4 linked regions of the Schizosaccharomyces pombe genome follow. Changing the gene in region 1 together with any one later gene gives a genetic interaction. Each region holds a gene or a part of one and is shown in the gene's direction. Other genes may lie near its edges.

Region 1 (5,697 bases):
TATAGTAAGTTGAGTTGCTCGACGACGAGATAAATCAAAGACCCAGTAGAACACAAGAGTTAACAAGAAGAAGACAAAAAAGTGACAAACTTTGTCGTTTATAGGAACCGGTAAAGCAGGAGCAAACCCTCTAAATACAATGTGTTTAGTAACATAATCATTTATCAATATAATTGTTTTCAAAAAAAATAAATCCTTTAAAAGGCTGAATTTCGATAAAGTAATAATAAGGAGCAAAGCGTTACGAATACGAATGATTTAAAAACGAAACTAGTTACATGTGCGGAGTTTACTTACAGGTAAGCAGAAATGATAAGCAAACTAAAGTGAAAATTGGTTAGAGAGATGTGAATCGTAAAGAATGATTTTAATCTTGCAAGCTGCACTTCCTGATTTACTTACACTATGAATATCGCCAAGACCTTTTTGCGTATAGCAAAATGTAAATAGGATGGGAGCATCATTTTTTTGAATTTAATAATTGCATTCAATCAACAACTTTATGGAAAAAAACAGTGAAAACGACTGTCTGTAATAGAAGTAGTGGGTAGTACGGTTAAAGAAGCTACTTCCTCTGAACCAGCCTTGTTGGGCTTAGCGGATCGTAGTATCGACCAACAAGCGACTAAACTTACCGAATAGCACTTTTAATTCAGTACCTTAAACGAAGTTTATTGTTTGTTTATTATTTTTATAGCAATTTATATGATATGTAATGGAATAAATGGGAAAGTTGAATTTCATACTTGACAAGGTTTTTATATGTACTAAACAGTATTAATATCAATAACCACAGATACCCAGCTTCACTATATGCCAAAGTACTAATAGTTTGCACGTCAAATGGTACGTGGTCAAGAAAATTAAAAGAATTGCCAAAGCGTTCATTCAACTTTTTTGCGATGAACATTTAAATTCGTGGTTACTTCTTTGTCAATTTTATTCCATGCAGCAAATTATTGTAAATTCTTTAATAAATTAAAAGCGCCTTGTATAAAAAATCTATAAATGAATCACAAAGGATGAACTGCTACAAACATTGACGACCTATAATATTTTGGAGATAGTTGTGTTTGTCATTACGAATTATAACAATAGATGACTTTTGAACCTTCGATAAGATAAAAAATAAAAATAGTATTCATATTTACGTTTTATTGATCATTTTATAGGTCTCTAAAGAAATAGTGCCATATAAAGTAATTGAAATCATTTTTAATCATTAGCGGTCCAAAAACTGGATATCAAAGAAATAAAACGTGCTAGACAAATAAAATAAATTTTGAATAAAAAAAAGAAGATCCTCTTATAAATAATATAATGTTAATTCGAAAATTCATGAGACGAGTTTTTAACATCGAATCGACTATCAGCAAACTCTAAACCAAAGGCTATAACTGAGGAAGAAGAAATTCCTTCCCTTGAAGCAGCTCTTGAGATACTGTATAAAGAAAAACAAGCTGATCGACCGATTGAACAGATTGCATTCTTTGTGACCGAAGACTGGAAACTATATTTGCGATATTATCCACCTCAAATTTCGAAGTTGAAGTAGAGTCATCTGTTTGAGATAAAATCTCAAATAACGCCATGAAAGTTCCCGTTCTGCCACAACCCGCTGAACAATGGACTATAATGGGTGCTGTTTCAAAGTCCGGAGAATATGAGAGACTTTTTATATAGCGAGTCAGTGATAGTAGTGAGAAGGTATGTGGTGCACCAAAGTCAGGCCAACCGTTATAGTAAAAATGCAAAATTTTTTTCTTGACCCCGTCCTTGTTCAGCTCAAATTCACGAACTTGAACTTCATTTAATGATGTCAAAGTATAAACTTTTACCAAAATAACGCTTAAATCACCGATATTAAGTGTCTCAAACAGTTCCACTGGCCAATAGATATCACATTTCAGACGATGGCGTTCCCTCAATTTGGTAAGCATAACGATGATGCCTGATTTTGGCACAGATTGCCAGACCATCTTCCAAAAAACATCAATACTGTTCGACGTTGGACCCTATATAAATAAAGAAGACTAAGTTAGTAATTATGTTACAAAAAATGATGAAAAGAAAAAAGGCCAAAGCCGTTTACAATCCCGCAATTTCTTTTTATTCCTAACCTGAGTAGCGATAAATGTTTTCCCAGAAGGGATTTTTACTATGGAAGCATTAATGTAATCACATGCTTCTTTCCACATTGGATCTAAACGAACACGAGTATTTTCATAAGGGACTATGTTGGAGTATCGGTTTCTAGCCAGCGCTTTCTTACTTAGCTTTGGCAACCTAGTATTTAACAGCTCTATCTCTTCCTCATTGAGTCCCTCAATAATCATGTACGCTTTTTCTTTTATTGTGATCAAGGGTGTTAGAACACCATTTTCTGTAGATACTTCTTTAAAAGACATATTGATTTTTTGCGTTTATTCGCTTTTAAACTTCTCACCGAAGTATTTTTTTGTGTCTATCAAAAAGAAAGAATAATTTCTACTAAACGACTTTAAATGATTCCTAAAACCATGACAGAAGTCAGTAAAAAAGAGAAGTATAATTGTTTAATAAATCATCATTGTACGGCCCCCACATAGCGCTAGTTTCTAGTTGTAGTCGTAATCTAGTTCACGTTCACATTCACTTCGTAGGACTAGGCCCAGAGTATTTGCGAATGTCTATGTGGGGGTAACTCGAACCTTTACGAAGCCGGTAGTATGAAGAACAAGCTATATGTGGGATACTTTTATAGGTTGTAAACAACTGTATTGATGATAGTGAATAAAATGATTTAAACGCACTTATGTTCTCTCCAAGGACTTAATCGATCTGCTATACTTTTACTTTCAAAAACAAAAATATTTAAAGTGTAGAGAAAAGTTTTGACGTTTCTTATATAAGGCCAAGTATTATAATACTTGCTCAGCAATTGTTTCATTAAATGCCTGTTTGAATGTCGCCATTGTTCTTTAGGAGTTGTGTTTGACTCGTTTGACTCCCTTACTTGGCTTCTTTGGTTTTAATGTAATTTGTAAAGATTTCTTTGAATGAAAACGTGCCTAAATTGGTTTTAGGTGTTCTTTCTTCTAAGGTTTCCAATAACTTTAACTCAGAATTAGTAAAAATCATTAATTGTTAACAAAAGCTTATGACAGGTTTTTTCTATTCTTTTTTTTTGAATGTTCGCTTAAGAAAAGTCATATGTAAACATCAACGAAGCCAGCTTGGATATGTTTATGATTTCTCCGGTAATAGCAGTTGAAATGCTATAAACTAACAAATTATTCATTTAATAAGAAAATCAATAATTTACTCGATGTTTAATATTATTTGCTTGGAATGCTCAAATTGGATGAAATGAGACTATAAACAACAAAAAAACAATCGTCGTCAAACTATAATGCTATATAATTAAATTATAAACGTTTACTTTCCACTATTTACTATTTCATAATTTTTGTTATATATCCATCCACCCTTTTACCAAAGCACATCAAAAGTGTCTTTGCTGGTATAGTTCTATGAATGCGTCTAATAACATTTCAAAATTTCCTGATTTAGATAATTCTTCAAAATTAATTGACCACATACTTGATAGTGATGATTCTGAAGAGTTGGACGAGCTTCCTGATATCTCTTCTTTGGTGCCTTCGGCAAGAGCCCAATCGCGAAAACAGTATTTGAAAAATGATTCTTCTAATTCATCTACATACAGATGGAATATTGATCTTCTTTCTAGTACTGCTACAATTGACGATTCGGTTGCAAAAAGAAGAAAATTAGCAGTACAAAATTTATTGCAATATGACAGCACTCAAACCTTTCAAACGGGAGATGAAATTGATGAATTAATAGGAAAAAGTGTTGGATCAAATGTTTTGAATGTTCTACGTTCTAACCCTATTTATGATGACGACCTTAGGTACGAATATTGTAGCAATTCAAAAGCTCGTGTTCCAGACTGGAACACCCTGAAAGCAGAATGCTTGAAAGATAACGATTTGGAGTTTAATGAAGGAATTATACCAACAACTTTTGGTGATTTATTATCGGCAAAATTGGTCCCCTTAGATATTGCATTGTCAATATGCAGCTTGCAATTTTTCCGCTCTTTAGGAGACACAACATGCTCTGAATGGATTGCTAACCTAGAAAAGATTTTTTATAGCTATAAAAGCAGCTCTAATAATCTCAACCAAATTGTACGATTTATTTTTGAGACTACTGCAGATATGATTGGCATTGATTTAGCGAAACGACAGGTACCAATCCAGTTGGAACGTACGTCAGCCTCAGAAAATTTAAAAAGCAATTTGAAAATTAAGGTAATTAATTTCCTAAAATGCTGTGGAACTTTGTATCGGTTCTCCGACGACACTGTTCGCTTTGAAATGATTCAGGATGCATGTCGAATCTTAATTGACAATCAAGTGGGCTCATTTTGTAAATGGCAATTTTCTCAATTCATGGAACTTCCAATATCATTGAATCCAGATTTTTTGATCAGTAATATTCATAAGGTGTCTGAAAGTCCTAGAGTTTGGGTTACAATACTATCTTCTTTGTCTCGTTCCTGCCAAAAATTCAGAAAGAAGATTGCTTTTACATTATTTGTTGGGAAACAAAGTAAAAATGATGATTCAGACTTTTCTTCTTTATGTCAACGACTAGATGAAATTTCCGCTTCCTGTAATAATGACTATACAACTTTATTGTACCAGATTCGTACCTTCGGATATGCGGTGGATGAAAAGCATTTTAAAACTAATGAGCGCTTAGAGTGCTTACTGGAAAAATTACGAAAAATAGATTTAACAATATCTGGTTCAACAGACCATTTGCTACTATCGAGATGTGAAGTTAAAGATTGCATACATAGACTTTTTATGGTGCTTTACTATTTAAATACAAACTCAGCACCAGAATTGGAGAGGATTATTGAAAGTGACTTGCCCAATAATAATAAACAAAAGGACAGGTATTTCAAGGATAAAACTTCTAACTTATCGATGAAAGAAAACAAAAGCTTTTCAGCTAAAAAGGTGAAGAAGGGAAAAAAGAAAAATAAACGGCAAGCGTACAAAAGATAAACAATCAGTGTATTTATTAATATTAATTTCAGTGCTGGCGCAAATTCAACAAATTGTATAATACTTTCTAACTAAGAAATCCATAGTTTAATTTAAAAGAAAGTTACTTATTATAATTCCCTTGGAATTACAAATGGACAGAAAAGAAGAAAGAAGTTACCATCTTTTACGATAGTCAAAACTTAGCATCCATTGAAAGATATTGTATCCACTTGATTAATAGAAAGCAGCTATGGGAATAATTTATGATAAGAATCAGCAGAAATCATACACAATCCACATTTAAGAAAACAATGGAAGCCGAACTTGCGATCATTTAGCCTGAAGCATTAAATACTTGGATGAAGCAAAAATTTGAAACAAGTTATAGATAAATGCTTTAAATGAACTTGAGAAAGATTATAAGATAAAGCAAAAGAAATTAATGTCATGAAAGAAACAAATGACGATATCTCAAAATTTAATTATCGAACTTTCGGTTAGGATTTTCACCGAAGAGAAGACGTCTAATTTCAGGAAGGGCTTCTTCCTTCACAATCTCTAAGCGAGCACGCAAAGTGTTATCAACACGAATTTTACCACCCAAACCTACTAAAACGACACCTCCAAGCACAGA
Region 2 (8,595 bases), on another chromosome or scaffold:
AGTAATTAAGTGAAATCTTACCAGAGTATTCAATTCATAATTTATAGATAATTGATTCAAGTTGGCACTGCTTTGTGTCTTGTTGCGTAAACCATTGACAGGCGAACTTCCATTAAAATGGAAGTTTTGTGCCATCAAGGTTATAAAACATTCCATTATCCTCTGTTTTTAAATTATCCACAATTTTAAGCATAGATGAAGCACTTTGCTCTGGTGAGATGGCATTGCTCTTGATGGATTCTACCATCTCAGGATATTTGCTGGCTAATTTTTGCATAGCATTAACAAACATGTCAGTGTTAACTACTCCAGGGTGAATAGAAACTACAACGAATCCATCTTTCTCTAACTCAAAACTAATTTCTTTCATCGTATAATTTAAGGCTGCTTTAGATTGCCCGTAAGCCGAGTATGTGTTTGGACGAACTCCTCCCATGCACGCAGCCATTGATGAAGTAAAAACAATATTCTTTAGCTTTCCCTCCTTTAACAAGTGATAAAAAGCTTGGTAAACATGAATAGGACCTAACACATTGGTTTGATAATGAGACATCCAAAGCTCGTCTGATGTTTTCAAAACAGGTTGGAAGGATTTCGATATCCCCGAATTCACCCAAAGAACATCAATACATTTTACTACCTTTTCAACCTGCATGGCAGCGTCTTTGGCACTTCGTAGAGAAGTGACATCTAACTTGATGATATGTACATTGGAATGGGTCTTGCTCCAATCTTTCAGTTCAGAGGCAGATCCAGGTCCACGAGCACTTGCAAAAACAGTTACTCCTTCCTTATTGCTTAACTCTTTGACTAGAGAAAGTCCAATGCCACGGTTTCCACCCACAATAACGTAAACTATCCCACCAGCAGCCGACATGTTTTAGCATAAAATGACTCAAAAAGATTCAAGGTGATGATTTTTTTCAACAATAATTCTTTATATCAAGGTCAGTCGTCTTGCCTAGCCTACTTGGTTGGAGGTGTAAAACAGTTGCGCTCACGCATAATGTATCAAGTCAGAAAGATCTGCAAATGCATCGTCGCACAGTTCTTAAACTATAGTCACTAAACAATAATACGTTATTATTTAATCAATCAATATGCTTTATGAATGACATTATGCTCTTTTGCCCAAATTAAGCCCTAAAGTCGTAGCTGGTATCTCTAGTCTGAGTTTGGGACAGCAGTTTTAAAGTAAAAGGCTGCTGAATTCTATCAGGTATCATTCCTCCATTTGCTACTAGATAAAGCTACTATAACTAAAGAATTGGCAATACATTTCGATAATAAACATACAAACAATGTAGCGGATTCACATTTTTATTGCTACAAATTTACCAACTGGTGCTAACTTGCGTTGTCTAACTATATATCGATAGTGAAGGTTTTTTTTCTATTTCATATAAGCAACTTAATGACAGGCTACGTTATATTTCAATTTGCAACTGACTTTATAAAGGAACCTGACAGAATGTACAGCTACTGTAACGTTTTGAAAGGTGCTTCGTAAAGTAAATATAGCGTTTTGCTTTATATATCGCTCCTTTCTTTCTACACTGTTAATCTACTTTAGTAGGTAGGAAAGGATATCAAGGGTGTAAGAAAATTTCATGGTTTTTCTGTTGTATGTTCATTTATTTTATATTTATGGAGTGTTTTGTACGCACTAGCTCTTTTAGTGTTTTATTTTTACTGCGAGAAATGTAATTTTCATTCTTCCTCTTTTATTTATATATGTGTTTTTTTTTGGTAGATTTTGTAAACATCATATAGCTTGTTAATGATCAGACTTTATTTTTTTAATATTTTCTTTTGTTAAGCAATTTCGTTTAAAAATAAACATATCCGACTTTGATGCTTCAAAAATTTAATGTAATAAAATAATATTCCTGTTTTTGAATCTGGGTTAAAATCATATCGGATACCTTATAAAATTCACTGATCATTTAAAAAAAAAAAAAAAAAAAAAAAAAACCCCCCGAAAACATACAATTTTGTTAATTTTCAAATGCATTCTTTTGAGGTCAAGCCATATTTACTTTTATCCCAAATATTAAATTTAAGTGTCATATGCAAAGTTGCAAATTCGCCGACCGTAGGGCTATCAAAACTGATGATGTTTAAAAATTGACTAATGGAACAAATTTATCTTGAGATGAAATGATGTTGTTCAAAATTAATATAATTTTTTTTTGCTGTTTCCTCTTGCTTTATACGCATTTTCCTGCACCTCTCTTTCAGAATACACATTATTCTTATTTGGTATTAAGATTCACCAATTGATAAAATAACACCTAATTGTATGCCACGGCTATCTTGCTATTATTGTAATTTCGCTTTATATTCGATTTTGACGAATGAACCCTGTCAAGTTGGAAAATGCAAAAGCAGTATTCTACCGTTACCTCTCAGTAGTAAAATGACCTTCCATCGATGAAATTCTCTAACATTCTCTTCGTATTTAAAAATGTATGGATCGTATATTCCTTGCTTATCCACGATTCATGAACAATTAAGATTTGCTGAATGGGTAACACATATTCTGCGTTACCTCGTATAGTTCATTGTTAATCAATGTTTAAACACTAAATTTCCCATCTCCCACTGTTAATTGAAAATAGGTTTTATTCAATAAATTACCATTTAAAAAGACATGTTATTTTAAGTTATATATTTTATGAACCTAAAGATTGAAGTAAAGGCCTTCGGAGCCTTTAGTTCCCCTACTATGTGCCTCTACTCGCTTCTTGGGGCTTAACTGTAATGTAGTATTGCCAATTACACAAAAAATTTATATTGTTCTTTAGCTTCTTATAATTCATTTAAATGAGAGGTAAAAAATTCGAGAAGACATTTCAGAAAACTACAGAAGTATCCATTTGTTTGAAATTAACTGTCCTAATGCAGATGAATCCTATGTAATAGAAATATTACAACCGTGGCTATAAAAGAAGTTGAGAGTTAGTTATACGTAAGAATATCTTTTAAAGATTTCAATCGACATCTCACATGATTCATCAGTATTAAACGTAAAAGTTTACATATTAGTTGTAGCACTATTCGTGATAAATGAAATAGTAAACCAAAAAACGAACGAGGAATAATCTTTTCATCACTAGAATATTAAAATTATTTTATATAATCAAAGTTAGAAAGATTCCTTTAGTTCCTTGAAATATTCTTTAATTATTATTGCAGCACTAAGGATTGCATCACTGATATGTCTCAGTAATGATTATCAGAACGTCTGGTAATAAAGCACGATCCTCTCTCTTTTTTTGTTCTGACTCTCGTCAGGATGAATTCCTTCTCAAAGTGCCGGGAGGAATTGCTTTGTATTTTTTGTACCGTACTTACATTTTATCGTATACTTTCACCTTAGCGCTTTTGGTGTCAAAACAATAGAGATGTAAATTTTAATAGAAATTAAAGCTTATTGGAATTTTTGTTTTCAAGTGTTTTAACATGTAGTGATTGTGTAAAGTATATGTTTACGTTCTAGTAATCGACTACCGTTGAAACTTGCAAACTACCAAACAGTATTGCAGACAGTGAATCAGTCGACGGAGCACTTGAATCAATTTGTTAATAATATAGAGATTAAATTCACAATTTATTGACACATGATTAACTGAATTCATTAAAATATTTGTTTTTTTGGTATATATTTCCTTTCAATACCCTCGCTATTTGTTTCTTAATAACTGAAGACAACATTGATCTACTTAATATATATGACTCAAAACTCACAGAGTAATGGTGAAATCGTGTCAAAAAAAACCGGATATTGATGAGTTCTTTTCATTTTTGCAGAGTGCATTCCATCCTCTACAGACCGAGGAACTTGATACATTCGTTCGCAACATTTTTGAATATGACGATCGAGGTCGTTTGTACAACTGCCTTTTAACTCTAGGTAAGAATGAATATTAGATATAATCAAGTTTATTTTTATCGCTTTTTCTAAAATTGTGAATTTTCAATTGATCGTCGTATGCTTGATAGCAATTTTGATGATCTTTTATCAAACATTTTGCACGCCTATAACTCTAAGGTTATATCAATTCAATTTTCTCAAAGAAACATATAAAATTTTACTCTATTCATGACTTGGCATGAGTGGTTGGATGAGACTGTGGCGTTGGTCGTTAATTATATTTTTTGTTGTTTCTGTTCGAAATTGAATGGTTGATTTCAACATTTAGCCCTTGGGTTTTTATTTCCCTAGGAAAAATGTTTGGGAGATTTAACCGTACAGTTTTCTGTAAAGCAAATGATTGTATAAAAAAATTATGATGACTGAAAATTCAAATCTACTACAATGTCACTTGAAAAATCGATTTCTTTTTTGATGTTTTATTTCTTTTTTATTAAAATTTCTAACCGTTAATGCAGTTCCTTATGAAAGACTTCCAATAGATGCAGAGGATCTTAGTAGTCGAAAAACCTATGCGCGTCCCGTACTAATCCGACAATACCGCAGTTTGCGGTTTGCCAACAAAGAAGAAAACATTTGTCGGCTAACTCCCAACTCAGCGTTCGTCCCTGTTCGAGACTCTGCAGTCGCTAGCATTTCAACCTCAAAAGTGCAGGACTTTAACTCCTATGCTACTCTCACTGAAGCACAGAAAAAAACGGCCACTCCCGTTGAGGAAAAAAACTTCTTAAATCAAATTGTCATACAATGTTTAGACTCTTTGGAAACCGACGTTGAAACAAATACCACGCATGCTACTTTACTAGCCGTTGACCCTACTTGGTTAATCCGTGTATCACAGCATACCTGTGATCGGAAAGCTGTGGCTAATCTCTGTATTCAGTATGGAAGTCAAATATTTTATGATCCATCATTTCGAAATGCTTATGAATTATGGTCCAATCCTTCAGTTCTTTTGGCTTTTTTGAAGGCCCAAAGAGTGTTGGTCGTTTCAGATATATTTACTTCGTCAACATTGAGATCAACACAAGGGACGCCAATGTCTTTTCCTAATTTAGCTTTGGAAAGCGCTGATAATGTCGAGAACGTATCAAAGCCTATTAACCCTCGAATGGAAAGGTTTTCATCAGAGGTTAAATCTTCGAGTATTCTGAAACAACAGATTGCAGCCGTTGTTGAGAAAATCAATTATGACATACGCCCTCAACGTGATCAAATCCCTGAAGAAAATATCGTACCTAGAATCTCTTACTTAACAAGTACCACTACTTCGACCAAATCATCACCGGTTCCCGAAAGCACTACAACAAACACAACTGAAGTGCTGAAAGAACTTAATGACATTCAAGAGAACAAAAGCAGAAAAAATGTTGAAAAAGCGACTGCGGCAACAGAAGAAATGCTACGTGGCCATCACAAACCGGTAGAAGGAACAACGGCTACTTCGGAAAAAGAAAGCATTAAAGAAGAAGTTGATTTAGAAGTTAACGGTGACGGGAAAGTTGAAGCGGAAGAGAGAATAGAATTGGAATCTTCCGATTCAGAGAAAGAGCTTTCAGAGCTGATTGATTTTCTTAAAAGAGAACACCCACCGGAAGATACTCCAGAAAAACGAGTAAAGATTAAAAGAATTAGAACATTACTCGACACATGGCAGCAGGAGTGGAGAATTTTAAATAAAGCCATTTCAAATGCAGAGTCAAATTCTGGGCGAGGACAGAACTCCAAAACGAAAACTACTTCTGTAAACTTATCGCGAAACAAACGAACGAGGACTTAAGAATGTTTAAAAGCATTTTTTTTGTGGAACATAATTATTAATCTTAGAATTACGAGCTTTTTATTTGGAACACTACTGAGTCTAATTATTTAAAGAAAATTATCAAACAACAATATTTGTATATAACGTTTACTCATTTCCCAACAAAATTAATTTATAAATAATAATCAAAAATGAACCGAATTCCCTGTATACTTAACCATAATAGTAATAAAATTCCAAAACCAATGCTACAATTCGATAAATGCAGTATGATCAAGTGTAGCCATTTACCTCCTTTTGAAAAGGAACAAAACAGTTACACAAAAAGAAATACCAAACGACTCAATGCTTTCCCTCCTTTAACTCCTTGGCACCAGCTTCACCTAATGCCTTAGTAATTGTCAACTTGCCCACTTGTTGAGACGCAATTCCGGCAATTAGTTTCTCATTGCGAACATTTAATGTTTTTGTAATGTTCTTTAAAGATATTAGCAAAAAGAACATATATAAAAGTAAATTTTAAAACATACCGCATTAATTGTATGGTCTTTGATAGCAGCTGCTCTTCTAGGGGCACAATAACGAGCTAAAAGTCAAGGTTAGTAATGAGTATTAATGATGAATGATAAACCATATAATATGATATCTTGTATGCTTAAGAGTAAAATGATTGAAACGTGTATCAAAAAATTTAATGAAAAATTTTACTATAATGAGTATCTAAAGTTACGAAAAGATGAAGAGTTTATAGCACCACAAAGGTTGTCCAACAACTTCAATGAGCTTAAAATATTAAAAGAAACATCCCTAAACCAAATTCCCTAGCATACAAAGATCACCGAATATTTGACAGTTGCAGCTGACATACCGCCTTTTTTAGGATTCTTGGAGTGTTTTGTAACACGTCCGCCCTTGTTGGCACTACTATTTTTCTTCTTTTTAAATTCTCCTTGTGCCATTGAGTTACGATAAATGGTAATGGTTATAGTTTGGTGTAGTAAATGAATTTTCATAGATACTTTGAAGGTAACATTAGAAGGAGGTAACAAACATCGCCATGAATACAGCAATAAGTAATACATACAAGTGGCATTACAGACTAAATAATTCGTTTTATAAGCAAATGTATAATGAGGGAATTGTTATACTGTTAATGTTACCGTCTATAAAAAAAGTGTACCTTTAGAAAGATCGGAATGCCATAAAATGTGAAAGTTAAAGTGCAGTGTTTCCCACAGTGCAGAATGATTTAAGAAATTAAGACTTTAAAATTCATTAAAAAACACGTACGTTTGCTAAATGATTGCTTCAAACATAACGAATCTTTTTTTTTAAAGAACAGGCGAGATCATAAAAGAAAACATTAACCTGCACAAGTAAAAGACAGATTAAAGATTCAGATTGAAAGGGAAAACGCCAGCAACCGACAGGAAATAAAATTTTTTAAAAAAAATTTAGTCGTCGGTGATGGCCAGCTTCAAATAGAGACCAATTATAATACTTTTTGCTGCTCAAGCAGAATCTTGAAATTACGACCGTCGTCCAGTCGCACGGAAAACTTATTGCGAACAATAAGTAACGTTATGCGGATAAACTATACAACACGCTTTACTTCGAAAAGTCGCTTTAAGTAGAAAATTTGGAATACACATACGGAAACTAGAATAACGGTTTGAAGAATACTCCACCACTTGACGCGGTCATTTGTGCTTTCAGCAGTATTGCGATGTATTCTTTCACGAGCCACAAAATACTCCTGCTCATGTTTTACCTTGGAGATGGTATCATGGAGTTGGCGGACCTTGCCGAGTAAAGGATTGTTAGCATCCAAATCTTCATCAGAGATATATATAACACCATGCACATTGAATAAAACCTCCTTTGATTCACCATCGAGTGCATCCTATTGATGTTGTTAGTTAAGATTGTACATCTAGCTGTTTCCGGCTCAACCATCAAACAATTAGACGACATGGGAAATGACGACCATAATGCCAGGCTTTGATGCCAGAAAACAAAAAGATAACACATACATTATAGAAACAATACATGTATTTCCCTGGGTTCTTAACGGTGAAAGAATATTGGGCCATAGAGTTGGGAACCTCTTGATGCATAATTTGACCCGCAGGATTGTAGATACTCATAGAAACAAGCTGATCACCACCAACGTTTGTTTGATAAGTGACAGACATTTGATCATTATTCCTCAAATTTTCATAGAAACATTCTAAGTTTGCTTCATTAGCATTGTATACTCCATGAATCTCAACACAAATACACTGAAATTACATACCTCGTTGATGCGGTTTCAATGTAATGCCATGACCGAAAACAACAGATATAAAATAAGCACATAACACGGCTTTAAATACGTTAAAAAACGCCATTTTGCAAAGTAAAGCTCTTTGCTCTTTGAAGCAGCAAGAATGAGGTCTATGGTAGAGGAAACGTACAAAGCACTAGTTGGAGGGCAACCGTGCATAAACAAAGCACAACTGTGAAATTAGGCGACGCTACGTTAAATTTGCTTAAGAAAAAATACGATGTCTTTATAAAAAAAACGTAATACGGTATCTTTCCTTATTTCTGTGGAAATTATTAAATCATTCTTGTCTTCAGAGTATAACTAGTAATTCTCCAAAACTTCGTTTATTTTGTATTTAACTTATTATTGAACATCAATTCATTTTATTTTTTTTTCTCTCCTATTAATTAGGTTTTGCATGAACTTGCCATTTGTTCGAAAACCTTTACTGTTGTATTCATAATATTTTTGCCAACATTTTAAAGCCACACTTTGCTTGTCCTCTCTTTCTTTGAATTTTTAAAAAAAAATAATTGTTTTACCATGTTTCAAGTCATCCAAAAAGAACTTGATTTTGGGAATGCAATG
Region 3 (8,342 bases), on another chromosome or scaffold:
ATATTGTAATTTTAGTTAACGAGGATTATGTTTGTAAGAGAAGAGAAAATAACTGTGGCAATTATACACGCACTTGCAGATGCAATTGTAAATTTTTTAGATATAATGAATAGTTGTACCAAAAATGTTCCTGCTTTTACTTTTTTTTAGAAGATAGACATTGGAACGCGGCTTGCTTAAAAACCTGGCACGTGCCTTTTTTATTTTTCGTGCATTGGTAAAAACAGTACTGTTTAAGTATTAATAAGCTTAAATTAATTCTTTAAATTCACAGTCTCCAATTTTTTCTAAAATTCTTGATTTTGGTATTTTTGCTTAGCCTTCGCGTTCGTTATATTTATATACTACCAACCACTTTAAACTAAACCAACCCCGTACCTTTGGTAAAGTAGCCACTACTGCTTTATAAAGCTATTTATTGTTAATCTCTTCCACAATGAAAGCAAATAGAGACTTTGGAAGAGATGGTGGCCCTTTTAGTATTACGCCGAATCGATTCCAGCCTAAATCCAGCGGAAATCCCATATTCCGACAGAAAACCATTCGAACTGTTGGGATAATTGCTTTAACACTGGTCTTATTTTTATTCTTCCATCGTTCATTCTTCTCTTCTTTTGGTGAATTTCCCAGTTTTTCTTCTACCGCGAACGCTCCTAATTCTGATGTGCAAGAATATGACTTGCGAAAAGTAATGAACGCTAAATTTACTGGAGATTATTCACCGAAAGAAAAGGTGTTGATTTGTGCTCCACTTCGAAATGCTGCAGAACATCTTAATATGTTTTTTGGTCACATGAATAACCTGACTTATCCTCACGAACTTATAGACCTTGCCTTTCTAATTTCAGACACTGATGATAATACTCTCGAGGTTTTGAAGCAACATTTAGACGCTATTCAAAATGACGAGGACGAATCTAAGCATTTTAACAATGTCCTTATCATGCTAAAGGACTTCGGTGCTATTTTCGGTCAAGAATTCAGTGACCGTCATGGATTTGCGGCACAAGGTCCCCGAAGGAAATTAATGGCTCGTGCTCGTAATTGGCTTTTGTCAGCCGCTATACAGCCTTACCATTCTTGGGTTTACTGGAGAGATGTTGACGTGGAGACTGCTCCAAACACTATTTTGGAGGATCTTATGCGCCATGATAAAGACATTATTGTTCCTAACGTTTATAGACCCTTACCAGATTGGTTGGGCAATGAGCAACCATATGATTTAAATTCATGGGCTGAATCTGAGACTGCTCTTCAGCTTGCAGATACTTTGGGCGAAGACGACGTTATTGTAGAAGGATACGCAGAGTATGCTACCTGGCGCCCTCATTTGGCTTACCTTCGTGATCCTAATGGTGACCCATCTGTTGAAATGCCACTGGATGGTATTGGTGGTGTATCTATTATGTCTAAAGCTAAAGTACACCTAGAAGGTTGCGAGTTTCCCGCATTTTCATTTGAAAAGCATGCTGAAACCGAAGGATTTGGAAAAATGGCTAAGCGGATGGGGTTTTCCGTTTACGGACTTCCTCACTATGTTATTTGGCATATTTATGAACCTAGCGATGATGATAAGCGTATTATGGCTGAAATGGAACGCGAAAGGAAAGAAAGGGAGGCCGCAGAGCTTGAAGAGGCTAAAAAGTATCAGACTGCTGGATTCACGCAACCAGATGATCAGGGTGCTGAAGAAGGTCCTTTGGCACATGCAGACGATCATGTTGATTAAGCTCCCTTACTTTGTAAAAAAATTCCTGAGCACAGTAACCATGTTTTACAGTCCTCTCTCTTCTTTATTTAAATCGCTGCCCCTTTTCACTTACATATATAATGATGGTCGCGTTTTTTCTTTATTCTTATTTCTTTTTATCTCTTTTAAACATATGATCAAGACATAATTAGTAATTTTAGTGTTATTCTGCCCTCTTTTTTTTAACTTGGTATACGAACTCATAATGGGATGCACGTTAGGATGATGCTTGTTTCTTCAGTTGGTGCGCTTTAATGCTATGCCAGGAAAAAAAGGAAGCTCTTGGTCTTATTCTCTCTTTAAGGACTTTTTCCTCCAAAAAGCCTTGTACATACAAACATCTTTAGTTTGTTGTTTATTCGACAGTGGGTAGGGCAATCATTCTCTTTCTTTACATGCACCCATTAGGAATATATGCCATAGAACGCTGTAAATATACAAAGCAGTTACCATGGTTAAACGGCATTCATATTAATTCTATTACGATACTGATACATATCACTGTCGAAAAGCAAATTTCAGTAGAATTTGTTGATTAGTTTACTTAATGGTAATCTGCTCACGTAGCATGAAAAGAAATTTCAATTTATAAATTGTTGAAAACTTCATATTAAATCATTTCAATCGCATAGGTCATGTACAAATACTAAAAGAGGTTAAGTCGTCGAAGCTTTAATGTACAATAAAACGCGTAACTTCGTCTTTTATCCAAGAACCCTTGGTTTTTTATTCTTCTTTTTTAAGTTATTTTTCTTCGTTTTGTGAAGGAAATCCTGCCAATTTCCCACACGATTATCTCTTGTCTCTTCCCAAACCTTTTCTGATTCTACACGACGCTTTCGTTCTCTTGCAATTTCATCTTGACGCGCTTGTTCTCTTTGCTGGTTTGCTAAATCGAGCTGCCGTGCTCGTCTTCTTGCAACTTCATCTGCAATAAGGATTTCACGCCAACGTACTTTTAAATCAAATAAAAACTGGTCTGAATGGACGTCTTCCGAATTTGGAGACAATTTTTTTTCTTTCAATAGTTGGTTCCTTGCAGCTGTGTAAGCCGAATCAAGAGATTCCCGAATCTTATCATTAACTAGATCAGACTCCGCCTTTTTTAAAATGTCGAATGCGTCTGCAGCTTTTGGGTTATCGCGATTTTTGTCTGGATGAATCATTAATGATTTTTTCCTGTACAAATTTCGAATATCATCAACACTCATTCCTGGCAAAATATCAAGAACATCATATGCATTTAATTTAAAGGAAGACAATATTCTGTCAATCTCACGTCCCTAAGTAAAGGTTAGAATTCATCGACTTTGTTTGATTAGCAAGTAATATACGCATAGGCAAAGTTATTCTATTGTTTCATTGTAGTATATAATCTGTATAAACAAAAAAAAAAAAAATTCTGAGAATAAGATAAATCGAATCAACCTACTAAGGTACATCTAGAAATCTTCACATGCAATGTCAATAAAATGCTAAAACTTACTCTGTTTAAACTTCCTTCAACTCGATCTAAAAACTTTGCAACGTCTGCCATTTCTGACCGAGCCCCAAAATTGAAATTACAAGAGTGCAAATTTCAAAAATCCTTTATAGATAAATTTGGTGGTGAGTTAGGTTTTGCATTCGCCAACTTCTGGTATCGAGGGTAAGAATCTGTAAGTACGTTTAGAAACAGGTTCTTTACATTTGTTCTTTAAATGTAATAATGTATATGAATATACATATTCATTTACATATCGATGTGTCTAAGGTTTAAAAATTTACCGTCCGAGAGTGCTCTTACGAATCCCTAATTAAGTTTGAATATTAGTGCATATTAACTATTAATGGGTTTGCAATTTAAAATAAGATGAATGAACTAGATGCTACAGATCCATCTGATTGGAACCAAACGAAAATACCATCGTTGAAGGGCTTGGATTCTTCTTTACGATGTCTGATTTGTCATGAATACTTTCGCGCCCCCTTAATTACTTCTTGCTCACACACCTTTTGTTCGTTTTGTATACGCGATTATCTGAGAGAACATCCTATGTGCCCTGCTTGTCGTGCTCCTGAGCAAGAAAGCCGCTTAAGAAAAAACACTATATTAGAAGAGATTTTAGAGTCCTTTAAAGTGATCAGGCCAACATTGTTTGAATTCTTAAAAGTAGAAAATGTGCCAAAGCCAGTACTTCAAGCTCCTGAAACAGTTATCGCACAGGATTCAGCTTCTGGCGATGAGGAATGGGAAGACGACTTGGCTTCAAATTCATCTCCTGCTTCTATAGCTAAAAAGACATCTAGGGATTCTAAAAAGAGGAAACGTGAGGATTTAGTTCACTGCCCTGCATGTTCAAATTTAGTTCCTCATAATCAAATTAATCAACACTTGGATTCTTGTCTTAACTCACCTTCTTCCCCGTCTTCCTCTTCCTCACCTTATAAAAATAAGGATAATAGTAAATCTAATTCATTACTATCATTCAAAACAGATGATGATTCTATCACGAAGCGCAGGTTAAGGTCGTTTAACTCTGCAGATGAACTACCCTTGAAAGATCGAGTGCGGCTTCCCAAACTAACTTATGCACTCCTTTCCGAATCAAAAATTCGTTCCAAATTATCAGAGATGGGGCTTCCAACCGATGGACATAAACAACTATTACAACGTCGACATGCTAAATGGGTTACCCTTTACAATTCTAATTTAGACCAGAAACAACCTGTTTCAAAAAGAAATTTAATTCGCCAACTTATAGATTGGGAGCGCGTTCAGTCGAAATCAATTGGAGTAGAAAAAGAAAAACTAGGAGGGGGCGATTGGGAGAAGGCATACGCTGAGGATTTTGCTGATCTCATCAACCGTGCAAAACAATCAACAACTAACAAAAATGATTCATTGAGGAACACTGCTGTTGAATCTTCCACCGAACCTTCTACATCTAACGGTTTTCCTGCCACTTCAGTTAGTCCCCCTCTTACTATTGACCTTACCAATTCACAAACGGGATCCGATGGACCACAGTCCTAATCATTAATTTTCGTTGGATTCGTTTTAACGAATTTTCATTATCAGATTAACTTATTAGTTTATTTCGCTATATATAATCACATTAATAACCTGTAGAAATTTTGATATTTGGTAAATAAAATAATATACATTTTGAAAGTGGGGCATTTCTAGCTAGAAGGAATATTAGAAGCAGGTTGTTTGGAGACTTCGACTTCGTCAAGTGCTGCAACACACTCCTTCAAATCCTTCCAATCGATTTTTCCATAAAACAATTTTGCTTCCTCTACAAAAGGCTTGGCACGAAAGGGAATGCGACATCTCAACCAAGCATCGGCAGTTAATACACACCAAAGTGCGGCTTTACGAGTTCGCTTATTAGAGAACGGGTCCGTAGATTCAGTTTTTAAATAAGAAAGGGATTTAAAGAGAGTGTGAGTTTGTTGAAAGATCATTGCTCTTCCTACAGGACCCAATCTCTTAGAATAAAGCAAACCTGCATTCCAGTTAGCAGCATCGTCCACTTTTGGAGCTGGTAAACAACTAAGGAATTGTCCCAGGAGAAGGAAACAGCGCGCAGCATGATAATAGGAATTGAAGGATTTATTCAAATAATTTAACATAGCAGATTGCATATACTCGTTTATTCTCAATGTGTTCGTCAAACTCATATATGGCATTTTTAGGTGTAAAATATGTTCAGTTATTACAATCATTTCTAGAGAGGCAGCAGAATATAAGCAAGCACCATCATTTTCATACTGTCTTGATGCAATTTCATAAATCTGATTTGCATGAGAATAATCTCGTAGCATGAAGGAATAGTCGGCAAGTTTCCTAAGATATGCCTCTGGTGAAAATGGACGATAGGCATTAGATGAGGGGAAATAGTTAGAATTGGTAGAAGCATTCGAACTAGATAAATATTTTCTGGATGCAAATAACAGCTTACCGGTAATCCCTCGTCTCGGAGAAGCATATTGATCATCCCATGCTCTTACGCATTTGTCCAAATAAGAGACAATTCCGTTGAACGCAATGTGCGAAGATAACCGTCGCAGTGATTCATTGTCGGATTCAAAGAGTAATCGTATTTCAGTATCCGTATTAGATAAAAGGTGTAAACGTTCTTCAGCAGACAACCAAGAGGATGTTGGAAAAGGAACGGTATGTTCATAATCTAAGGTAGCCTTTTGTGAATGAAGGCGAAGAAAGTATCCACAATCTCCAAATGTCTGCTTCATCGTATCAAATATAGCCATTGAAAGCTCCAAATCATGTTGATCTTCATCATGAACATATACGAAAAGGTAGTTTATATCATTGAAAACGAAAGCAGGAAGGGAAAGGTAGGGAATCGAATTAATCAAAGATCTGAGAGATTCAAAAGGACTAGGATTATGCGAAGTTACTACGACAAGGTGAGCAACGGGATGAGAAAAAGTTTCAAAAGGAGTAATAGGTATCCCAGTTAGTAACTGTCGCACATAGACAGGAAGTGGCATTTGGTAATTCCCTTCATGAGCCAATGTCCAAGCCCATCGTTCAACGTTTTTATAATGAACGCCAAAGGAATAATCTGAAGGGGGTTCAGGTGAAACAAGACCTGGATATCGCTCACATAAAACCGAGCGAAGTGAAGGAAAAGATGCTTCACTTAAGTGGCTTTCTAAAGCATCAATTGGGACAAAATGTAAATTTAAATTTTCCAACGTCAGCATTTCTCCATTCATTCCTCTACGGTTTACCTTTCCACGAATACGGTCTCCAAAAGGATACAACAATTCCCAAAACCCCTTAGGATATCCCTTCCTCATGGCAAACTCGTCAGCATCTCGGGAACATAGGACCGAAACTCGCGGAGCATATGCTTCTTGGATGATGGAACACAACTCCTCCATCGAATACAGTCCTTTCGACTGCATTACCTTTTCAAGATCTTCTGTTACGGGCTCTTGAAACAATTCCCCTGATGCATTAGCACTTGCATGTTGAAAAATACCTTTGGCGGAAAGGTTGCTTTCCATATTTTGCTGAGTAAATGTCAAATTCAAGCTTTTTCAATTAAAAACTCGAAATCCGACACTTAAATGACTTTATTACAAAGCTGATGTAGTGAAGAATACATGCAATGCACCTTTATCAACAAATTTTTTAGACTAGAAGTTAACTACCTCAAGGGTATATGGAGAGGATGTACGAGATTTGACAGCAGACTAGGTCACTACATAATTAATTGAATATAAAAAGAAAAAAACGATTTCATTTAATAAAAGTCTAATTAATCAAATTATGAGTATTTTGTTCGTATATTAGAGAGCTATGTAAAAGGACTGTACCGATCATCTAGACGACAAATATCGTACATTGAATTCACCTAGTTTGAGCCTTGAATGCTAACCAATGCTAAATGAAATGTAATGCTTTTTGGTGAGCTTACATATTATTTAAAATAATGAAATAAATATAGTAACAGCAAGCTGCGACTATAATACACTAGTTTTAATAGATATATAAATGAATTCTCAAATTGATATATGAGGACAAGGGTTTAATGTTGCTTCATAGTTTTATATTCATCATCATTCGTTAGAAAATCTAAACACTTGACCGATTAGAGTATTGCAGTATTTTAAATATACAGTTTGCTTGAGCATGAAAATACAACTCGGTAGTGAAACTGTCTTTTTATTCTAAAAGGAACCCAAGCTTAACCCAAAAAGTATAAATATTACTGAATATTTAAAAATTGACTCGTATTTTTGAACCAAGAATAATAAATCGGCTACAAGTTCTTTTTTAGAAGCACCCATGAATGTTGACTATATAAACCAACCACTTTACCATGCTTTTGAATTTATCTAAATAGAAATTTATTAAATTCACCTTTAACAGAACAAGTAGCAATTTGATTGATCTAAAATTTCTCGATTTATTACAAGGTTATATATATGTCTTGGATAAGCATAGTGGTCGCCGCCATCTCTTCTTCACCAATATGTTTCGAGGAAAACCCAACTCTATTGAGACCCTTATTTTACAAGCCACTGATGAAAAGAATACTAAAGAGAAATGGGACGTTATAATGGATGCGTGCGATCAACTATCTAGCACTTCTGGAGATGTGTAAGTTAATCGTAATCAGAGTCGTTTCACTAACTGGTTGGTAGTGGTCGGAACTCGATTAAATTTTTAAATAAAAGGCTGGATACAGCGAATGCTAATATTCAATTGTTGGCTTTGACGGTATGTTTGTACCACTTTTGAGGAGGAGGAAGCAATCAATTTATGATTATTCAATCTGGAACCACTGAGAATACTATTGTCTGTGCTTTACAAATTGTTTATTGTTCCTTATATCAATACACTCTATTTTAAAATGAATTGCGCAAATTTACTTTATCTAACGTTTGTTTTAGCTTACTGATGCCATTGTGAAAAATTGTAAGACTTCCATTGTACGAGAGATCTCCTCTAGAACATTCACGGATTCTCTTTTGAAAATAGCTAGTGACTCTACAACTCATAACCGAGTGCGTAGTAGAATCGCAGTTCTTGTCAACGAATGGGCTGAAATAATGAAAAAAGATCCCAACA
Region 4 (8,497 bases), on another chromosome or scaffold:
TTCAGCTGTGAAATTTTTGGCCTATATGTTGCGTTTATTTATTTGGAAAAAGGCGTTCAAGTTCTTTGTGACCAATTAAAGTATGGGCTTACAAATACATTTCTGTCAATTACTATTGCTTTATTATTTTTAATGGTGGGATGGCTTTGTGATACAGTAGGAAAATCTTCTTTATTCAGTTACAAAGTACGTATTCTACTTCTTGATTACGGACTTGTTGCATCCATCATTTTTTTCAGTGGGTTTCAGCACATTGGGAAAATGCGGGAAGTTTCTTTAGCGAAACTTCCTACAACAAAAGCTTTTGAACCCACGTTATCTAGAAGCTGGTTTATAAAATTTTGGAAAATACCCGTTGGGGATGTTTTCCTGGCAATTCCTTTTTCTATTGTTCTCACTATCCTATTCTATTTTGATCATAACGTTTCTGTATGTATTGTTTAATTTCCTTTTTTTAACATTAGTAGTCTGTAATGGCACAAGATCCTTCGTTTCCATTAACCAAACCTGCTGGATTTCATTGGGATTTTTTTCTTCTTGGTATAACGACTGGAGTGAGTGGTATTTTAGGTATTCCTGCTCCAAATGGGCTTATTCCACAGGCTCCCATGCATACTGCAGCACTTTGTGTTAAAAGGGTTGATTATGATGAAGACGAAATTGAAAAAACGCATAAAGAAGTTATAGATCGAGTTGTTGAACAACGAGCTAGTAATTTCATTCAGGGATTGATGACTGTTGGCACCATGACTGGTCCACTTTTACTGGTGTTACATCAAATTCCTCAATGTGTTTTAGCAGGATTATTTTGGGTATTTTTTTTTTTTTTTGAAGGGAAGATTATATTTTGCTAACTGAATTTTAGGTGATGGGGTTTTCAGCAATATTTGGCAACGGTATCACTCAAAACGTAATCTGGATGTTAAGTGACAGAAAGGTGGTATCTAAAAACCATACTTTAAACCACTGTAGCTCAAAACGCGTAGTTTGGTTATACACTATTTTGCAATTAATAGGTTTTGGTGCTACCTTTGCAATTACTCAGGTTGATAAAGCATCCATTGGTTTCCCTATTATTATTTTATTACTGATTCCATTTAGGACTTATTGTATGCCTAAATGGTTCCTTGAAGAAGATCTTGAAATTTTAGACGAAAATGTGGGAATTATTGCTTATCAAAAAGTATAATCTACTTTTTTTAAAGATGGGGTCTTCTATAAAATATAAAAAAAGCTTGATGGAATAGGTTGTATAATTAGGTATTTGTCATGACTTGATTTCAAAGACGTTTTCTAATAATTAATTTACTAATATCGTACAATGGTAATATATTTGGTGTGTTAAATTTTGATTAAATATTAATAAGCTAGTCCAAGCTATACTTTCGTAGTTTCACCAAGAATGCCATCGAAGGATGTAATCATTATACTCATTAAGAATATTTCGCATTAGTTTCCTTGGTAAGCCTTCGGCAACCCATATAGTTTGTAAAGCAAACCTACCATTTAAATATTTGACAATTGACGTAAACAATGGAGCCATTTCTGGTCCCCTCTCATAAGCTATAATTTGAATCCATTTCTGTTCAAGCAAAGAGGCAGAGTGCGGATCAATGATAATAGACTCTTTGCCATTATCTTGTTCAAGTTGCTTTCTAAGCTGCATGTCATTTTTAGAAGACTCATCAGATTCTATTAGTGCAATCGCTTTTTTCTTAATTTCTTCTGGAACGAGAATATACATATAGATATTCTGTTCATAAACCCAATTTCTTCGACACAGCCAAGCAAGCATTTCCAAATAAACTAACTCATGATCTTTCGATGGAATAATGGAGGCAAATGGTCGCGGTTTAAACGACAAAATAGCTAAAAATGTTGACAGTGAGGGAAGGCTCGGAAATTCCTTTTTAAAAAGCTTTGACTCCTCCTCCAAATTAAACAGATTAGCAGTTGGGGATGTAACATAAGTATTCCGGATTAACAAAGGAGGAATAGCGATAGCCTTTCTCCAATGAATAAGGTGTTTTGCTAGAATAAAGCATTCTGATACTGATATTCCTAGACGATTAGCGATATCTGTGAACCTGAAATATTGTAAGTTAGTATTTAATAGCAATAATAAATTTTGTTTAGACTTGACAAAACTTACGTTAAGTTAGGTTTTACTATGGCAATGAAAGAAGAAAGAAGAGAATTTTGTAAAAGAGGAACACGTTTCATTATAGTGTCTGTATCCTTTAAGAGCAACAAAGTCCAATAGGGGGCAACGAAAGGTTCAATAGAGGAAGGATGTTCTTCAGAGAAGATGGTTTGAGATGCTAAAATAGTTGATGGTCTAACCTGCAGTTCGTAATTTTCAAGTGTGTTGGTGGAAACCGACATAGGCCAGAGTAAGCTTAAGTTAATCGATTGATTTATCTCTAAATAAGCCGTATGCATGTTAATTAAAGCCTCATATGTAGTAGCAAGAACCGAAGCAAGATTTGAGTGATGAGGGATTTGAGCGGCATACACATCGAATGGGACGTTTTGGCTTGAATATTTTTCAGTCAGTTTTAAGATGTGTATACACTCATTTTCAACATAATTCCGTTTTGCTTGTTCATATTTAAGTCCAGTAACTAACTTGACTACTATATGATCATACATCGTGTTTACAGTAGGGCGATATACGGTAGCTGTAGGCACATTTAATACAAAGACGACATGAAATAAAGACATTGAAGATCTCGATTTTGATGAAGATGATTTTACTTCAAAACTTCCTGTCGAAGGGTGTGAAGATTCGGGCTTTGATACCAAATGGCTCGAAGAAGCATTAGACTCAACAGTAGTTCGTGGTTTCCTTCGTTTAGCCCACTCACCGTTCGGACCAATATGAACAGGACATCCCAAAAAAGTAAGACCATCCACCCAAATTTCAAATTTTTGATTGCAAAGTTCAATACGAGGACTTAGCATATTTGCGAGAAAGCCTTTTTCATAACCAAGTACATGTGTATCGTCAGCTACTTCAGTAAACCTATTATTCTCATCATCATCGCTGTCATCAAGGTCGAGCATCCCGATTGCAGACTCCGCTGAATCATTATTATGATGAGTGGCTTGTAGACGTACTTGAGGTTGTAGCGGCCAGTGAAAGACGAAATTAGCTCCTGATGTTGTTTTTTCAACAAGGAAAATGGCTACTAATCGAGGAGTTAAGCGTACCATTTTGGCGTTTTAAAACAAAGTATAAATGTGTATGTTCGATAATTGAAGTACATATGTGTGTTTTTTAATATATTTTTCACAACAGAAAACCAAATATCACCTTAAACATTATACCTCAAGGGGGTGGTATCGTTTTCTGGTAATTTGCGTGTAGTACGAAAGATTTGTGAGCGATATGCATCTGGCAGCTCGGTGTTTTAATCGCCTAGTACAAAACTAATAAGATCTAACATGAATAGTTAAACTGAATGTTAACTAATTATTGACATCTTGAGATATGAGTTCACGGCTTTGTAAATTAATGTGTGAATTGAAAGTAAAAGCATCGCTATGCAAAATTTCTAATGTGCGTAAAACCTTAGCAACTTTAATAGCTCCAATTCAATTCTCAAGAGTTTCTGATTTAAGTTATAAAAATGAATTGACTAATTTATATACAATGTTTTGGGTTATTTACATTTCAGTCACATGTGCATTTGCACATATGCTGCTGGACTTACTGTTAATGTAGTATATTCATACCGCGAAGAAAATACCTGAATCATTTAAAATGACCGTGTAATTGATATCTAACTGTTGAAAGCATCGGAGGCCCCAATGTTCTACAACAAATCTCACCTTGCTTTGACCTCCACCAAATCTGTATTCCTTAACAATTCGTATGAGTGATAAGGAATGTACTGTTTTTGTACTTGACTTGGGCAAAGATATGGGGACCTGTCACCATGGCAGGTCTCATTCTGATCTCGAATGGACTTTGTCGTATTTTCACGACGAATTGTCTCATAAGGTATTTTGCTCAACATTATCGACACCCTATTGACACATACTCAGTTTTTAGCAAATAGGAAGACAGACGTAGTTGGAATCGTTGGTTACAAATGCGATGGTATTCTATTGTAATGTTTTAAAGGTACACTACTTCTAACTTTTACGGTGTTTAGATACGAAAAATGATTTAGCTGAGCAGGAAGCCTATTGGAATATCAGTGTTTTGTATCCTATACAAACGTAAGCTTTCTCTTAAATGCTCCATTAACTTCTTAACTAGTGCCTTATTTTCAAAGCTACAATCCGTTTCTCAAACGTTAAAACCAAGCAATACTATGCAAGGCGATCTGATATCTGCAATAGTTGTGTCCTTTGATTTGATGGCTCGGCATTGTAAAAAGAACAAATGGAAGAAGAAGATGATAGTGCTTACGGCAGCTAGGGGGATTATCGACTTTAGTGATTACATTGGAATTGCCGAACAACTACTGCAGCATGATGTTTTTCTAGGTGTTTATGGAGTTGATTTTGATCAAGAAGATATTAATTATTCTGAGCCTTTAAAGGAATCTCAGAAAAAGGAAAACGAAGTTCGAATTCAAGAGTTTGTTGAGAGTTGTCATGGTCAGTACTGCACATTTCAACAGATTTATAACAACATCGGTAAACCTTGGGTTCGTAAAGTGAGACCTGTCGCAATCTTTAGAGGTACATTTAGTATTGGTAATAGAGACAGCAAAGATACGTCTATAAGCATACAGGTTGAAAGATATCCTAGAACTCGTTTAACTAAACCGCCAACATCATCTGCTTTTTATGAAAACGATATGTCTAAAAATTATGAATGTCTTAATATCGAAAATTCAAATGTGGAAAACAAAAGTATGGAATCTGATGCAGTGTCTACTGTTCGATCGTACATGGTTCGTGATCCAAAAACAAACGATTCTTTTGAGGTTAAAAGAGAAGACTTGGAAAGCGGTTATAGTTATGGTAGGACAATCGTCCCGATCAGCCGATCAGATGAAGACGTATTGGCTTTAGATACAATACCCGGTTATGAAATCCTTGGATTTATTCCTAAATCTAGTCTTCCAATTTATTATACCATTAGTGATACTAATATAATCGTTCCAAAAGATGACTTCGAAAGCAAATTAAATTTTTCTGCCTTTGTTCAATCCCTTGAACGTGAACACCGATATGCGCTCGCAAGGTTTGTTTCTAAAGATAAGGGCGTACCAGTTTTGCTGGTCTTGATGCCTTACGTGGAGTTTAAAAGACATTACTTGGTTGATATACAACTTCCATTCGCTGAAGATGTTCGGCCTTATTCTTTCTCAGAGTTCGAGAAACTGTCAAATGAAGAGGATATGCGACAAATTGATTTTGCCGTAAGTAATTATATCGATAATATGGATTTAGATTCCTCTGATTGTGGGTTCAATCCTCCTTTTGAGCCCGAAAATACCTTTAGTATGATACCACATAGACTTCAACAAGCTATCAGTTATTATGCAAATTCACCAGAAGGCGATCTTCCTCAACCAAATATTTACTTAACACGTTACACCAATCCTCCAAAAAGTTTACTTGATAATTGCATTTTGGACTTGAAGTTGATTAAGGAAAAACTTACAGTGAACGTCCCCGTCAAACCAAAATATTCTTCTCAAGAAACAGCCTTCGACACAGGCGCCCCAATATCAGAGGAACAAATAGAAGAACTACTAAATTCTGGTCTCGATGAACAGGAAGGAGAAAAATTATTAGTCCTTCACGTTAGTGAAAAAGACCCAGTAGGCACTTTCACTGAAGTTTTGAAAAACCCTTTTGGACTAGAGGATGCTTTGACAGAAATGGAAAAAGTAATTAAAAATCTTATTGACAAGTCTAAGTACGATCTTGCTTTGCAGTCATTGCAATCTCTCAGGTTACACTCAATTTTGGAAGACGAAGTTGAAAGATTTAATGAGTATCTTACTCGATTGAAAAAGGACGTAATGCAAAATAACAAACCCAAGGAGAATGAGCTTATTAACAAAATAAGATCATCTGGATTAGATATTATTCTCCATGATGAATTGACTAGACATGATAATTTTAATAACATTTAGCATAGGACAACAATGACTTGTCTTACTCGAACATAAATAAATAAATTTTATTAAATACTTGCAATATTTTTTTTACTTTTATCCAAATTTCTAATAAAAATTTTTAAGTCATGAATCCGCTATTTATTAGCATATAGAATACACGGTCGCAAAAATAGAAAATAGTTTTAACTTAAGTAGTTTAGGTAAACATACCTATGATATTTCAGAAAACACAACTATCGTTTAAAAACTTGGTGAGAGTTCCTTGCATTTTTTTATTTATATTCTATCTTTCACAATTACATTATTCAAAGAACATTTTAGACTTACTTTCACGAATTGGACAAATATCGGGGACATGCTTAAGGAGCTACAGCAGTGTTCCTTATTAGTGATACTAAAATTTAATAGTTTGGTCGTATCTATTTACCTACCACTGACTTTTTGATCTGTTACGCTTCGGCGATTGGAAAGCGTTCCTGAACTTTCTGTCATTTTAAATAAAATTTAAATTTTTTAAATATTTAAATTAATTCGATCAAAATGACTGAAGTCGAAACCACACACATGAATGCAGGTACAGAGAGCCAACAAGAGCCTGCTGAGCTAGCTGAAAAGCAAAAGGCTATAGGAAACGCTTTCTATAAAGAAAAGAAATATGCAGAGGCTATCAAAGCCTATACAGAAGCCATTGATTTAGGATCAGATTCAGCGTTGGCGATTTATTATTCCAATCGTGCCGCTACTTATATGCAGATTGGTGAGTTTGAATTGGCTTTATGTGACGCGAAACAGTCCGACCGTATTAAGCCAGACGTTCCAAAAACACAATCTCGTATTCGTCAGGCTTACGAAGGTCTATCAATTTTAAATGAGGCAGAGGTGTATTTGAAAAATAAGCAAGCTGGATTAGCTCTTAATGCTCTTGATCGCCTTCAGCGTCGTATTGATAGTACTACTCAACCCCCAATGTCGTGGATGTATTTGAAAGCGCAGGTATATATTTTTCAGAACGATATGGATCGTGCTCAAAAAATTGCACACGATGTTTTACGACTTAACCCTAAGAACGTAGAAGCTTTAGTCCTCCGTGGTAAAGTAATGTATTATTCGGGTGAGAATGCGAAGGCTATTACCCATTTTCAAGAAGCATTGAAATTAGATCCTGATTGCACTACGGCCAAAACATTATTCAAGCAAGTTCGTAAACTCGAGAACACCAAAAATCAAGGAAATGATTTGTTCCGTCAAGGTAATTACCAAGATGCTTACGAAAAATATTCTGAGGCTTTGCAAATTGATCCTGATAATAAAGAAACTGTCGCCAAGTTGTACATGAATAGAGCTACTGTGTTATTACGCTTAAAACGACCGGAGGAAGCCTTGAGTGACAGTGACAATGCTTTGGCAATAGATTCATCTTATTTAAAAGGTTTAAAAGTTCGCGCTAAGGCTCACGAAGCTCTTGAAAAGTGGGAAGAGGCAGTTAGAGACGTGCAGTCAGCTATAGAACTAGATGCGAGCGATGCTAACTTGCGTCAAGAATTACGCCGGCTTCAGCTAGAATTGAAAAAGTCGAAGCGTAAAGATCACTACAAGATTTTAGGTGTTTCCAAGGAAGCAACCGATATTGAAATTAAGAAAGCTTATCGTAAATTAGCTCTGGTATATCATCCTGATAAAAATGCTGGCAATCTTGAGGCTGAAGCACGCTTTAAAGAAGTTGGCGAGGCTTATACTATTCTTTCTGACCCAGAAAGCCGACGTCGTTTTGATTCGGGTGTCGATCTTGAACCTGGTATGGAGGGAGGTGCCGGAATGGATCCTTTTGATATTCTTCGGGCTTACCAAGCCGGAGGTAGTTTTCCAGGAGGTGGTTTCCCAGGCGGTGGTTTCCCGGGAGGTTCGTACAACTCTCAGGGATTTGGCATGGGGGGTGGTTTCCCTGGATTTACAAGTTTTCAATTTTCTTAAGTTGGAAAAGAATTCACGATTTGTTTATACCGTTTTCATTCTTCCTATCTTTTTTTTTAGATTCATAACTTTTTCCGACCTATCTTTCATTATTACACATTTCATCTATTAAAAAAAAAAACTCGTGAATGTGTTCAATTCGTGAGTCAGACAACTTCGGATTGTAATTACACCGATACCTAATATGTATTCTATTACGCCCGAATTTTTTTTTGTTTTCTGTATCTATCTTTGCAGTTTTTTCCCGGATGTTGTTGATTTACGTTTAGCGTTTGTCGAGCCATAAATCATTTGGAATCTTGATCGTATTGTAAATAAATCTGCTTATCAATATTAAACTGCTTATGTTATTTACCGCTAGTATTGTGGTTTCATTAAAAGTAATCGTTTCGTGTTTCCCGATTAATGTTCTTAATTTAATACTATTTATAAGCAGT

Evidence for each region.
Region 2: of nse6 (region 1) and nts1, extra expression of one rescues a mutant of the other (dosage rescue), as found in Schizosaccharomyces pombe (one study listed by BioGRID).
Region 3: mutations in nse6 (region 1) and rhp18 impair growth when combined (synthetic growth defect), as found in Schizosaccharomyces pombe (2 studies listed by BioGRID).
Region 4: mutations in nse6 (region 1) and pku80 impair growth when combined (synthetic growth defect), as found in Schizosaccharomyces pombe (2 studies listed by BioGRID, with this or other methods).

What each region holds. Positions count from the first base shown.
Region 1 is NC_003424.3:5,295,549-5,301,245, reverse strand, and holds nse6 (Smc5-6 complex non-SMC subunit Nse6), read left to right. Parts: upstream 1-3,465; 5' UTR 3,466-3,512; coding exon 3,513-5,081; 3' UTR 5,082-5,197; downstream 5,198-5,697. Other genes in the region: SPOM_SPAC11E3.10 (ER or Golgi multispanning membrane VanZ-like family protein), read right to left, coding at 1-130, 298-321, 403-464; protein tyrosine phosphatase Pyp3, read right to left, coding at 1,392-2,015, 2,121-2,408; vma4 (V-type ATPase V1 subunit E), read right to left, coding at 5,542-5,697. UniProt on the Schizosaccharomyces pombe protein: Acts in a DNA repair pathway for removal of UV-induced DNA damage that is distinct from classical nucleotide excision repair and in repair of ionizing radiation damage.
Region 2 is NC_003421.2:930,085-938,679, reverse strand, and holds nts1 (protein Nts1), read left to right. Parts: upstream 1-3,524; 5' UTR 3,525-3,756; coding exon 3,757-3,916; exon of another isoform or gene 3,917-3,985; intron 3,986-4,395; coding exon 4,396-5,717; 3' UTR 5,718-5,943; downstream 5,944-8,595. Other genes in the region: SPOM_SPCC24B10.20 (dehydrogenase), read right to left, coding at 113-877; SPOM_SPCC24B10.18 (uncharacterized protein), read right to left, coding at 6,042-6,176, 6,230-6,285, 6,568-6,658; COPII-coated vesicle-associated protein Emp24, read right to left, coding at 7,294-7,602, 7,733-7,929, 7,996-8,089; proteasome assembly chaperone Pac4, read left to right, coding at 8,551-8,595.
Region 3 is NC_003423.3:1,066,656-1,074,997, forward strand, and holds rhp18 (postreplication repair E3 ubiquitin-protein ligase), read left to right. Parts: upstream 1-3,372; 5' UTR 3,373-3,602; coding exon 3,603-4,766; 3' UTR 4,767-4,915; downstream 4,916-8,342. Other genes in the region: mannan polymerase I complex subunit Anp1, read left to right, coding at 437-1,729; DNAJ protein Spf31, read right to left, coding at 2,455-3,033, 3,237-3,287; TRAPP III complex subunit Trs8502, read right to left, coding at 4,916-6,772; ESCRT-0 subunit protein HSE1, read left to right, coding at 7,744-7,871, 7,916-7,991, 8,165-8,342. UniProt on the Schizosaccharomyces pombe protein: E3 RING-finger protein, member of the UBC2/RAD6 epistasis group. Associates to the E2 ubiquitin conjugating enzyme ubc2/rad6 to form the ubc2-rad18 ubiquitin ligase complex involved in postreplicative repair (PRR) of damaged DNA.
Region 4 is NC_003423.3:4,300,748-4,309,244, reverse strand, and holds pku80 (Ku domain protein Pku80 ), read left to right. Parts: upstream 1-3,842; 5' UTR 3,843-3,877; coding exon 3,878-4,006; intron 4,007-4,050; coding exon 4,051-4,105; intron 4,106-4,160; coding exon 4,161-4,227; intron 4,228-4,267; coding exon 4,268-6,104; 3' UTR 6,105-6,222; downstream 6,223-8,497. Other genes in the region: bor1 (HC03 family inorganic anion exchanger), read left to right, coding at 1-429, 468-812, 866-1,189; Npr2/3 complex subunit Npr3, read right to left, coding at 1,394-2,087, 2,153-3,216; SPOM_SPBC543.02C (TPR domain protein, DNAJC7 family), read left to right, coding at 6,630-8,060. UniProt on the Schizosaccharomyces pombe protein: Single-stranded DNA-dependent ATP-dependent helicase. Involved in non-homologous end joining (NHEJ) DNA double strand break repair. DNA-binding is sequence-independent but has a high affinity to nicks in double-stranded DNA and to the ends of duplex DNA.